Linked DNA regions of Mus musculus. Each later gene encodes a partner of the first gene's protein in a complex. Links are inferred from orthologs where the notes say so. Each region holds a gene or a part of one and is shown on either strand. Other genes may lie near its edges. The genes, in order: Taf1c and Taf1d.

Region 1 (4,283 bases):
CAACTGAATATTTGAAATTAACTGGGACCCAAACTGCTGGGCACACTTGTGAGGAAGTTTAAAAAAAATTATTTATTTATTTATTATATGCAAGTACACTGTAGCTGTCTTCAGAGGCACCAGTAGAGGGCATCAAACCCCATTACAGATGGTTGTGAGCCACCATGTGGTTGCTGGAATTTGAACTCAGGACTTTGGGAAGAGCTGTCAGTGCTCTTAACCGCTGAGCCATCTCTCCAGCCCTGTGAGGGATTTTCTTAATCAGATTATTTGAAGGAGGAAGAGCCATCCTAAATCACCTTCTGGTGGCAGCCCAGATAAAAGAAATGGAAAAAGAAACCATGATTTGTGCCTGCTGGACCTCACCCTCACCGGCAAAACCATTTATTTTATGGCATTGCTGAAGTTTTCCTTTCAGTATTCAAATCAATTTCTTTAGGATTCCAACAGAGACTGAAGCTCGGCGGCTCTTTAGGAATGGCCCAGGACTACAGCACCAGATCAGAACTGCTGAGACAACCAGCCTCGTGGACGGAACAGTACCAAATTCTCCTTGCCATTTCTGTCATAAGACAGCTATTATTGAACTACGCAGATCACAGCCTGTAAGCCGGTCTAATAAAATCTCCTCTATTCCATACTCATTCAATCAGTTCTGTTCCTTTAGAGATCCCTTAATAAACTCAGGAACACAGATTTTTCTCCCTGAATAACTTGCTCCACCATGAAGACCGATTTATGAAGTTCTGATAATTACAGGACAAAGGAAAGTCAAACCCAAAGAAGTCGTCAAACACATTGGCGGGAATGTCATGTAGGTAGGTTGCAGTGACGCAGGAGAATCTGTTCCTTGTCTCGATTCTATCTGAAGATATTCTTAGCCTCCAGGCGATGGAAAGCAAGTGGTCAGCAGAGCCACGCGTCCTAAGTTTTACGCGATAGTGTCAGGACCAAGGCAACTTACAGGCAGAGCCCAGGACTCGCTGCATGCGAGCGAGTTTGAACAGATCCCCCAAAACTCGCAGGTGCACACACAAGGAATATTAGCTTGAGAATGACAAGCTAATATTCCCTCCTGGCCCCTGTTAAAGCCACACATGCACCCAGAGGTGTCTATGAAGCGGATTCTAGGACTTGTGGGTAATAAATACAGTGCGTGGCTCATCGGAGGTGCTCACTTGTTCGTTGAGAGGATCAATTCAAGCTTCTCAACACTTTTGTGAAATAGGATGGAAATTTCATAGCTTAGGCGCCACGACCATGCATATTGGCCCTCAGCTCTGCAGGTGGCGCTGGAGGACTCGGTTAGATGATCTGGGGGCGGGACTTCCTGTTTCTCGGGCGAACTTCCGGCCTGATCCGGAAAACAGTTTAGTCTGCTCCAACAGTTGTGGGTGGCGGCGTTGAGGTTCGGCACTCTGGCTCCTTTGCGGCCCCGGGGTCAGGTGAGGCTGTTGCGGGAATGCTGAGAGCACGTGGCAGACCACGTGGCTATAGAGACTGGTCGATTACAGCGCTGAGGCTCGTCCTAGATGCTGGCCACGAGGGAGGGCGGTCCGGGAACACTTGTGGTTACTACACACCGGTTTTCAGTTCAGACTCTAAATTCAGCGCCTTCACGTCTTGTCCAGCGGGTACTAGTGCTCTGCTGGTGCTCTTATTGCGGATGTTAGATTTAATTTTTACTAAAAATGAGGGCTGACTTGACAGTTACTGCTTCTAAAGAGTTCCTGCATTTATTCAGCCCACGGGCATTTTCGGAGAAGCCTGTGTTTGGCAGTGGGGAAGCAGGAATAGTACGCAGCCCATGTCCACAGAGGGGTGGAAGAAAGTCAGCCTGCTACTGTCATGCGCAGCGCGTTGATGAACGCTCAGCCTTCATCGGCATCACTTGGTCCTCCACACTCTCCCCTTTGTATATTCTGTGGTTGCTTATCTCTTTGGCACTTTACCTGCCACGAGGCCTTTTGCGATCACTTTCTCCCCAGCCCCTCTTCCAAGGTGTGAGCAGAGATATCTGTCTGGCTGCCCTCAAGAGAGTGAGCAGTCCTTGGGCAGCCCTGCTGACGCGCTGGCATTAGGCATAGTCTGGTCTTTATCTGCTACCTTGTAGTGGTCTCCCCTACTGTGTTCTGAGAACCCTGGTGCACTGTTGAGACTCCTAATGAAGGCGTGTGTAACGTTAGATACATTCTCTCCAGGATGGACTTCCCTGGCACCCTGCGCCCTTCATTGTTTAAGGCCGGTCCACTTGGCATGACTGATGGCCCTGACCTGTCCTTCATGTGCAGCTGGAGAGATGCACTGACCCTGCCAGGGTCCCAGCCACAGAACTGCAAGGTGAGGATGGAAATAGGGTCCTTTCCTTGGTCTGTTCCTCCTCCTTGCTCACTTATTGGGAAAAGAGGTCTAGGCAGCTGCTACTTGAGCTGCGCACCGGTTGCCCTGCTGTCCAGACAGTGTCTCTCAACAGAGGCTGTGGCTCCTCTTTCCTCGCTCCCTCTCCCTGGGTTCAGCAGGTGTTTATGTGTTGGGGTCCTTACAGGCCCAGGAGCCCAGCATGAGGAAGTCAGGCAACCCCACCTAAGGGACTTCCAGTTATGGTGAGAGACTGTACACCAACGGGCAGACCTTTTATAGTGTGGCCTTGACTTGCCTGAATTAGTGGAATGCCAGGGGCAGGATTTCTGCTCTTGGGAGGTCCATCTCTAGCAGCCTTGTATTGAGTACATTGAGGAGAGCATGTCAAAGAGAGGGTGTTGGGGGAGGGGAGTTCTTGGTCCTTGGGACAAGGGTGCCCACTGAATGGCAGGACTCAGAGGAGATAGCTGAGGAAGTTGGAGCTCATTGGGTTGTGGGTAGGCAGTCATGACTTAGGCGCTTCCTTTGAAAGCTGCTGTGAATGAAGTTTAGAATTCAGTTCAGACTCTGGAGTCGGTTGCCTGGGTTCAAGTCCATGCCTGTTTGTTGCTTCTGTCACCTAGGGCGGCAGCCTCATGCTTCAGGGTTCCTCATTAGCGAAGTGACCACCTTTTCACATTTGTCCCGAGGACTGAGTTAGTTAATTGGCAGGGATTGCACACCTGTCATGTTATTGCTGCCCCGTTTCCCTAGGATCCGACCTTGTCCTTTGCCAAGAACCTACTGTGGGAGCCATCGACGCCAGGACCCCTCCCCCTCCTGATGCCTCCTGATCCTGGTAAGAGTCTCTCTCCTTTTGGGCCCCCTCCAAGGACCTCAGCCATCACACGCACAAGGGGAACCTCAGACCTCCAGGGGTATCCTGTCCCCATTCCTTCTCAGGTTCTTCTCTGATCTCCTTCTCCCCTTAGATCCCTGGGACCCTGGTGTGACAGCTCAGGACTTCCTTTTCCGGGGAGGTCACTGCTACCAGTACCAGTCTCAGGCTGTGCTGGATGTCACTGAGCAGGTAAGTGTCCCTGGGTGAGACTGGTTCTCAGCGCCTGTGCTATGCTGACTCACACAGCTGTTCCCTCCAGCTCAGCCGCTTCCTGTGGGACCATGGGGACATAGCCTTCGCACCCCTGGGGAGACTCATGCTGGAGAACTTCAGATTGGAGGGGAACCGGGTAAGGAGCCGCCACCACCGGGTGGATGGTCAGCCGCCTCCCTGGTGAGACCCAAGGGTACCAACCTGACAGCCCTTCCCTGCAGGGCTACTCGAAAAAGATGACTATAGTCAGCGCGAAGAAGCTGCTTCAGGACCTCGGCGGACACCAACCCTGGGGGCAAGTAGCCAATGAGAGAGCAGCCATGGACTGGCCTGCCGTGAGATGTGGAAGGACCTGGGACACTGACCAGGTTTTCGTCATAGTGGCTTTTCCAGCCCCACACAGTCCTGAGCCATGAGTTCACAAAATCCCCGGCAGCGTAAGGGAAAAGCAGATTGGTCATTGGTAAACCTTAGGCGTGGGCTGCCAGACCTCCACCATCATGGGTCGCATGCACGCTCCCGGGAAGGGCCTGTCCCAGTCGGCGCTGCCCTACCGCCGTAGCGTCCCCACGTGGCTGAAGTTGACGTCTGACGACGTGAAGGAAAAGATTTACAAATTGCCCAAGAAAGGCCTGACTCCCTCCCAGATAGGTGTAATCCTGAGGGACTCACACGGGGTGGCCCAGGTCCGTTTTGTGACTGGAAATAAAATCTTGAGAATCCTCAAGTCCAAAGGCCTTGCCCCTGACCTCCCCGAGGATCTCTACCATTTGATTAAGAAAGCTGTTGCTGTCCGAAAGCACCTTGAGAGGAACAGAAAGGATAAGGA
Region 2 (3,704 bases), on another chromosome or scaffold:
ATGAGGTGAGTTTTTTTTTTAAATGTAGGTGAATACATTAGGTAAGATTGAATGGTTTGTTGGCCATTCTTAATTGTTTGAGGGACACCTGAAACAGATTGTTACTTTTAACAATAGTGACATCCATATAAAGTGCTCCAATTTTCATCTCTTGCATCACTAGAGAAATGTGCACAAGCATATTTATCAGTGTGCACACAGATTTATGGAGTTGTACTCCAGCTGGGTCCCTTGAGGTCCCTTATATTATCTCTAGACTATTCTGAAGCACACCACACCCAGCTTGCTTTCAGCAGTAGTCAATCCTTTGAGTACAGGCGAGAGAGAAGGTATGGTACCATTTAAGGCCCACTTTTAGAAGTCCCAGGAAGGGCTGGAGAATAGGACCATGAAGGAAGCTGCTGGTCCTGGGCATTGTTAGCCTAGGACCTCTTGCTCAGAATGGTAACACCCACCCACAATCTAGGCAATCATACAAAGATCCTCTGTTGAGGATCCCTTCTAGGGTAATTCAGAGCTATGCCAAATTGACAGTTAAAAGTTAACTAGTCAAGGGCTAGAGAGAAAAACCCAAGTACCCAGATACTACTTAGGTTTCTCAAATGTTTGAGTATTAACTGTTGAATGGTTGCAAGTGGTCGGAAAATGTAATCAGTGATTAATGTCTACTTTGTATTTATTTGTGTATGCACGTGCAGACATGGCAGAGCTTGCCAGTTTGGGTTGTCTTCCTATTCACCTTGTTCTTATTGTCTTTACTACCCAAGTCTGGAATTACAGTAGAACCATCATGCACATAACATTTACGTGGTTTCTGTGCTCTCACATCTGGTCCTTTTGATGAACGGCAAGCCATTGTTTATTTAGCCTCTTGGTACAGTTTCAAACTTGATTATAATTAGTATATGATGTTTTAATATTTAAGGAATTGTGTGTTCTAACTTGCAGCAAGCTGTTGCAAGAGGATTTTTTCACCACATTGAAAAACTCAAGTATGAACACCACCTTAAGGAATGCTTGAAGCAAATGCATGCTGGGGAAGATTTAGAAAAGGAAGACCTTGACAGTCGGAGGCACAAATACATGGATGATGATGGTTCACTTTCTCCTATTGAAGAGCCATTGTAAGTTGGATCTTGAAGGGCAATTTATGGGGTTTGTCATATTTAAGCTAATTTAAAGACAGTCTCACTACTGTACAGCTTTGGCTAGGGTTGAACTCATTTACCTGCCTCTCAAGTGCTGGGGTGGGTGTGCCATCTATAAAATGAAGATCCTATAAAATTCTTCAGTAGTAATCGTAACTTCTAGTCCATTTAAGATTGTTTAATCTGAGGTAATGTGCACAGGACATCAGCTTTGGGAGGATTATTTTTCTTTGACTATAGGTTTCAATGGTATCAGAATACTAGGTAAGATTTGTGACACATTCCATTTAATGTTACAGAACTGAAGATGAAGCAACAAATCCTCAGGCTGAATGTGATATCAAGTTGGTTGTAAGTGGCTGATTTTTATTGTTTCATTTACAGAATGTACAAGTTGTATACTATTGAATTTTTGTTTAAGAGTGGAACTACTATTTAGGCTATTTGATAACCAAGGATTTTTTTTTTTTTTTGTGACTCTTCCTCTTAGTCCCAAGTGTTGGGGTCTGAAGCCTTGTCCACATTTATATTTATGCCAAGGTATCATACTGCTGAGTTATAACGCTAGCTTTGAATATTTGTAGGATATTGAGGCCAGAGGTTAGACTGGCCTCTTGAGACCTCAAACCAGTGGATTAACCTACCAGCATGGTCTTTGCTCCTGCTATTGGCTTACAAAATGTGTATCTCTGCCTGGCTCCAGTCTTAAGATTTTTTTTTTTAAACTCAGTATTATGTTTTGTTTGCATGTAAGTATACCAGGTGTATGCCTGGTGCCTGGAACTGGTAGGTGCAAGGAATTGAATCTTAGTCTTAATTAAGAGAAGAAGCCAGTGGGCTGGTGAGATGGCTCAGTGGGTAAGAGCACCCGACTGCTCTTCCGTAGGTCCAGAGTTCAAATCCCAGCAACCACATGGTGGCTCACAACCATCCGTAACAAGATCTGACTCCCTCTTCTGGTGTGTCTGAAGACAGCTACAGTGTACTTACATATAATAATAAATAAATCTTTAAAAAAAACAAATAAAAAACATTCAATTTAATATGTAAATGTTAATTGTTAAAACTTTAAAAAAAAAAGAGAAGAAGCCAATGTTGTGGCTTATTTTGTGCTGTTTATTCTATACTGTTTTCTACTTAACTGTGTGAGTGCTTTACCAGCATGTATACCTGATTAATGGAAGAGGGCACCAGGTCACATTTACCATATGGTTGCTGAAATTTAATGCAGTACCCCTGAAAGAACAGCCATTGGTGTTTAACTGCTGAGGCATCTTTCTAGCCCTGAAAAGCCAGTATTTTTAACCACTGATCTAGCTTCTGATAAAATAATAAAGAACTTTTAGCTAATCTGGTGTGCTGTCAAATGAGAAAATAGTGCTGGTATAGTAAGGAATATATTTGCACTCACCCATCAGTGAGTTTAGTTACTAGTTTTTTTGTTTTTTTTTTTTTCTATTAAATGCAGGAAGACAGTTGCTTCATAATAAGTTCAGAATTCTCAAGGAAGAGAAACTTGGAACAAGAGAAGATTAAGAAAGAATCTACATTTTCTAAAAAAGCCAAAGATGCCACACACAGAGAGAAAGGGCACAGAAGAACCTTGAAAGGAAATGAACATGTGACTATTGAAGAAGGTAAAGAACATAGATAACAGTGTATGCCAAGTAGATCAAGAACTAATCTGGGGAAGAAGATAAACTTGCTGGTGGAACGCTAATAAATACTTAGTAAAGCTTTTTTCGTTGCTTGATTTCAGAGTAAGAAATACTATAAGGATTATTTTACTACTATAGTAAACATGATTGTGATTCTGGAAGGAAAATGCTAACAATCCTATACATGTCTAGATTCAAGACCCCAGCCTCGCCCTTTTGCTCATCTGCAGAGCAAGGTCATGAAGAAAGGAGAGTTAGAGTATCTGGAGGTTCACCACCTCTGTGGTCTGTCGCAGCCACTATGACTATGAGGAGGAAGAGATGATTTGAAAATTGGATTAAACTCCTGGACTCTTATACTAGAAAAAATAAACTAATGATAAAACCCAGCCTCTTAAGTGCTTAGCCCAAATTATTTCATATTTGTGTGTTTTGCCTACATGCATATGTGTGCAGTACCCAAGATCAGAAGGTATCTGTGCCTGGAGATCTAAAGTTACAAGATGGTAATTAGCCAGCCATTGTTGGTTATGAATATGATTTCCTTTCCTATTCATAGATGGGCAGTGGTGGCGCATGCCTTTGATCCCAGCACTTGGGTGTCAGAGGCAGGTGGATTTCTGAGTTCAAGGACAGCCAGAACTATTCAGAGAAATAAAAAAAAAGTTATTATCTGAGCTTTCTCTTCGAACCCACACCCAGGTTCTGTCTGCAAGTCTTAAGTCAAACAAGTGCTTATCTTCCCCAAGGGGGGTTTGAATATTACCACTGTTCCTACTGTCCTATTGTGGTCACAATTGTAAAACTGGCTGTGTCAGATATGGACAGCTTTGATAGCACTTGTGTTTTTGTCAGCTGTTGGACAATGGCCAGTTGAACAGGTGCAAAAATATAAATC

What was found.
Region 2: Taf1c (region 1) and Taf1d share a complex: the UniProt entries of both Homo sapiens proteins name them as parts of the transcription factor SL1/TIF-IB complex. The link is inferred for Mus musculus from reciprocal best matches to the Homo sapiens genes TAF1C and TAF1D.

The regions. Positions count from the first base shown.
Region 1 is NC_000074.6:119,602,297-119,606,579, reverse strand, and holds the start of Taf1c (TATA box-binding protein-associated factor RNA polymerase I subunit C), read left to right. Parts: upstream 1-1,373; 5' UTR 1,374-1,445; intron 1,446-2,201; 5' UTR 2,202-2,202; coding exon 2,203-2,340; intron 2,341-3,114; coding exon 3,115-3,199; intron 3,200-3,332; coding exon 3,333-3,430; intron 3,431-3,500; coding exon 3,501-3,590; intron 3,591-3,675; coding exon 3,676-3,749; exon of another isoform or gene 3,750-3,822; intron 3,823-3,933; exon of another isoform or gene 3,934-4,283. UniProt on the Homo sapiens protein: Component of the transcription factor SL1/TIF-IB complex, which is involved in the assembly of the PIC (pre-initiation complex) during RNA polymerase I-dependent transcription.
Region 2 is NC_000075.6:15,308,911-15,312,614, forward strand, and holds the end of Taf1d (TATA box-binding protein-associated factor RNA polymerase I subunit D), read left to right. Parts: coding exon 1-5; intron 6-948; coding exon 949-1,124; intron 1,125-1,447; coding exon 1,448-1,499; intron 1,500-2,616; coding exon 2,617-2,785; coding exon of another isoform or gene 2,786-2,802; exon of another isoform or gene 2,803-2,998; coding exon 2,999-3,111; 3' UTR 3,112-3,194; downstream 3,195-3,704. UniProt on the Homo sapiens protein: Component of the transcription factor SL1/TIF-IB complex, which is involved in the assembly of the PIC (preinitiation complex) during RNA polymerase I-dependent transcription.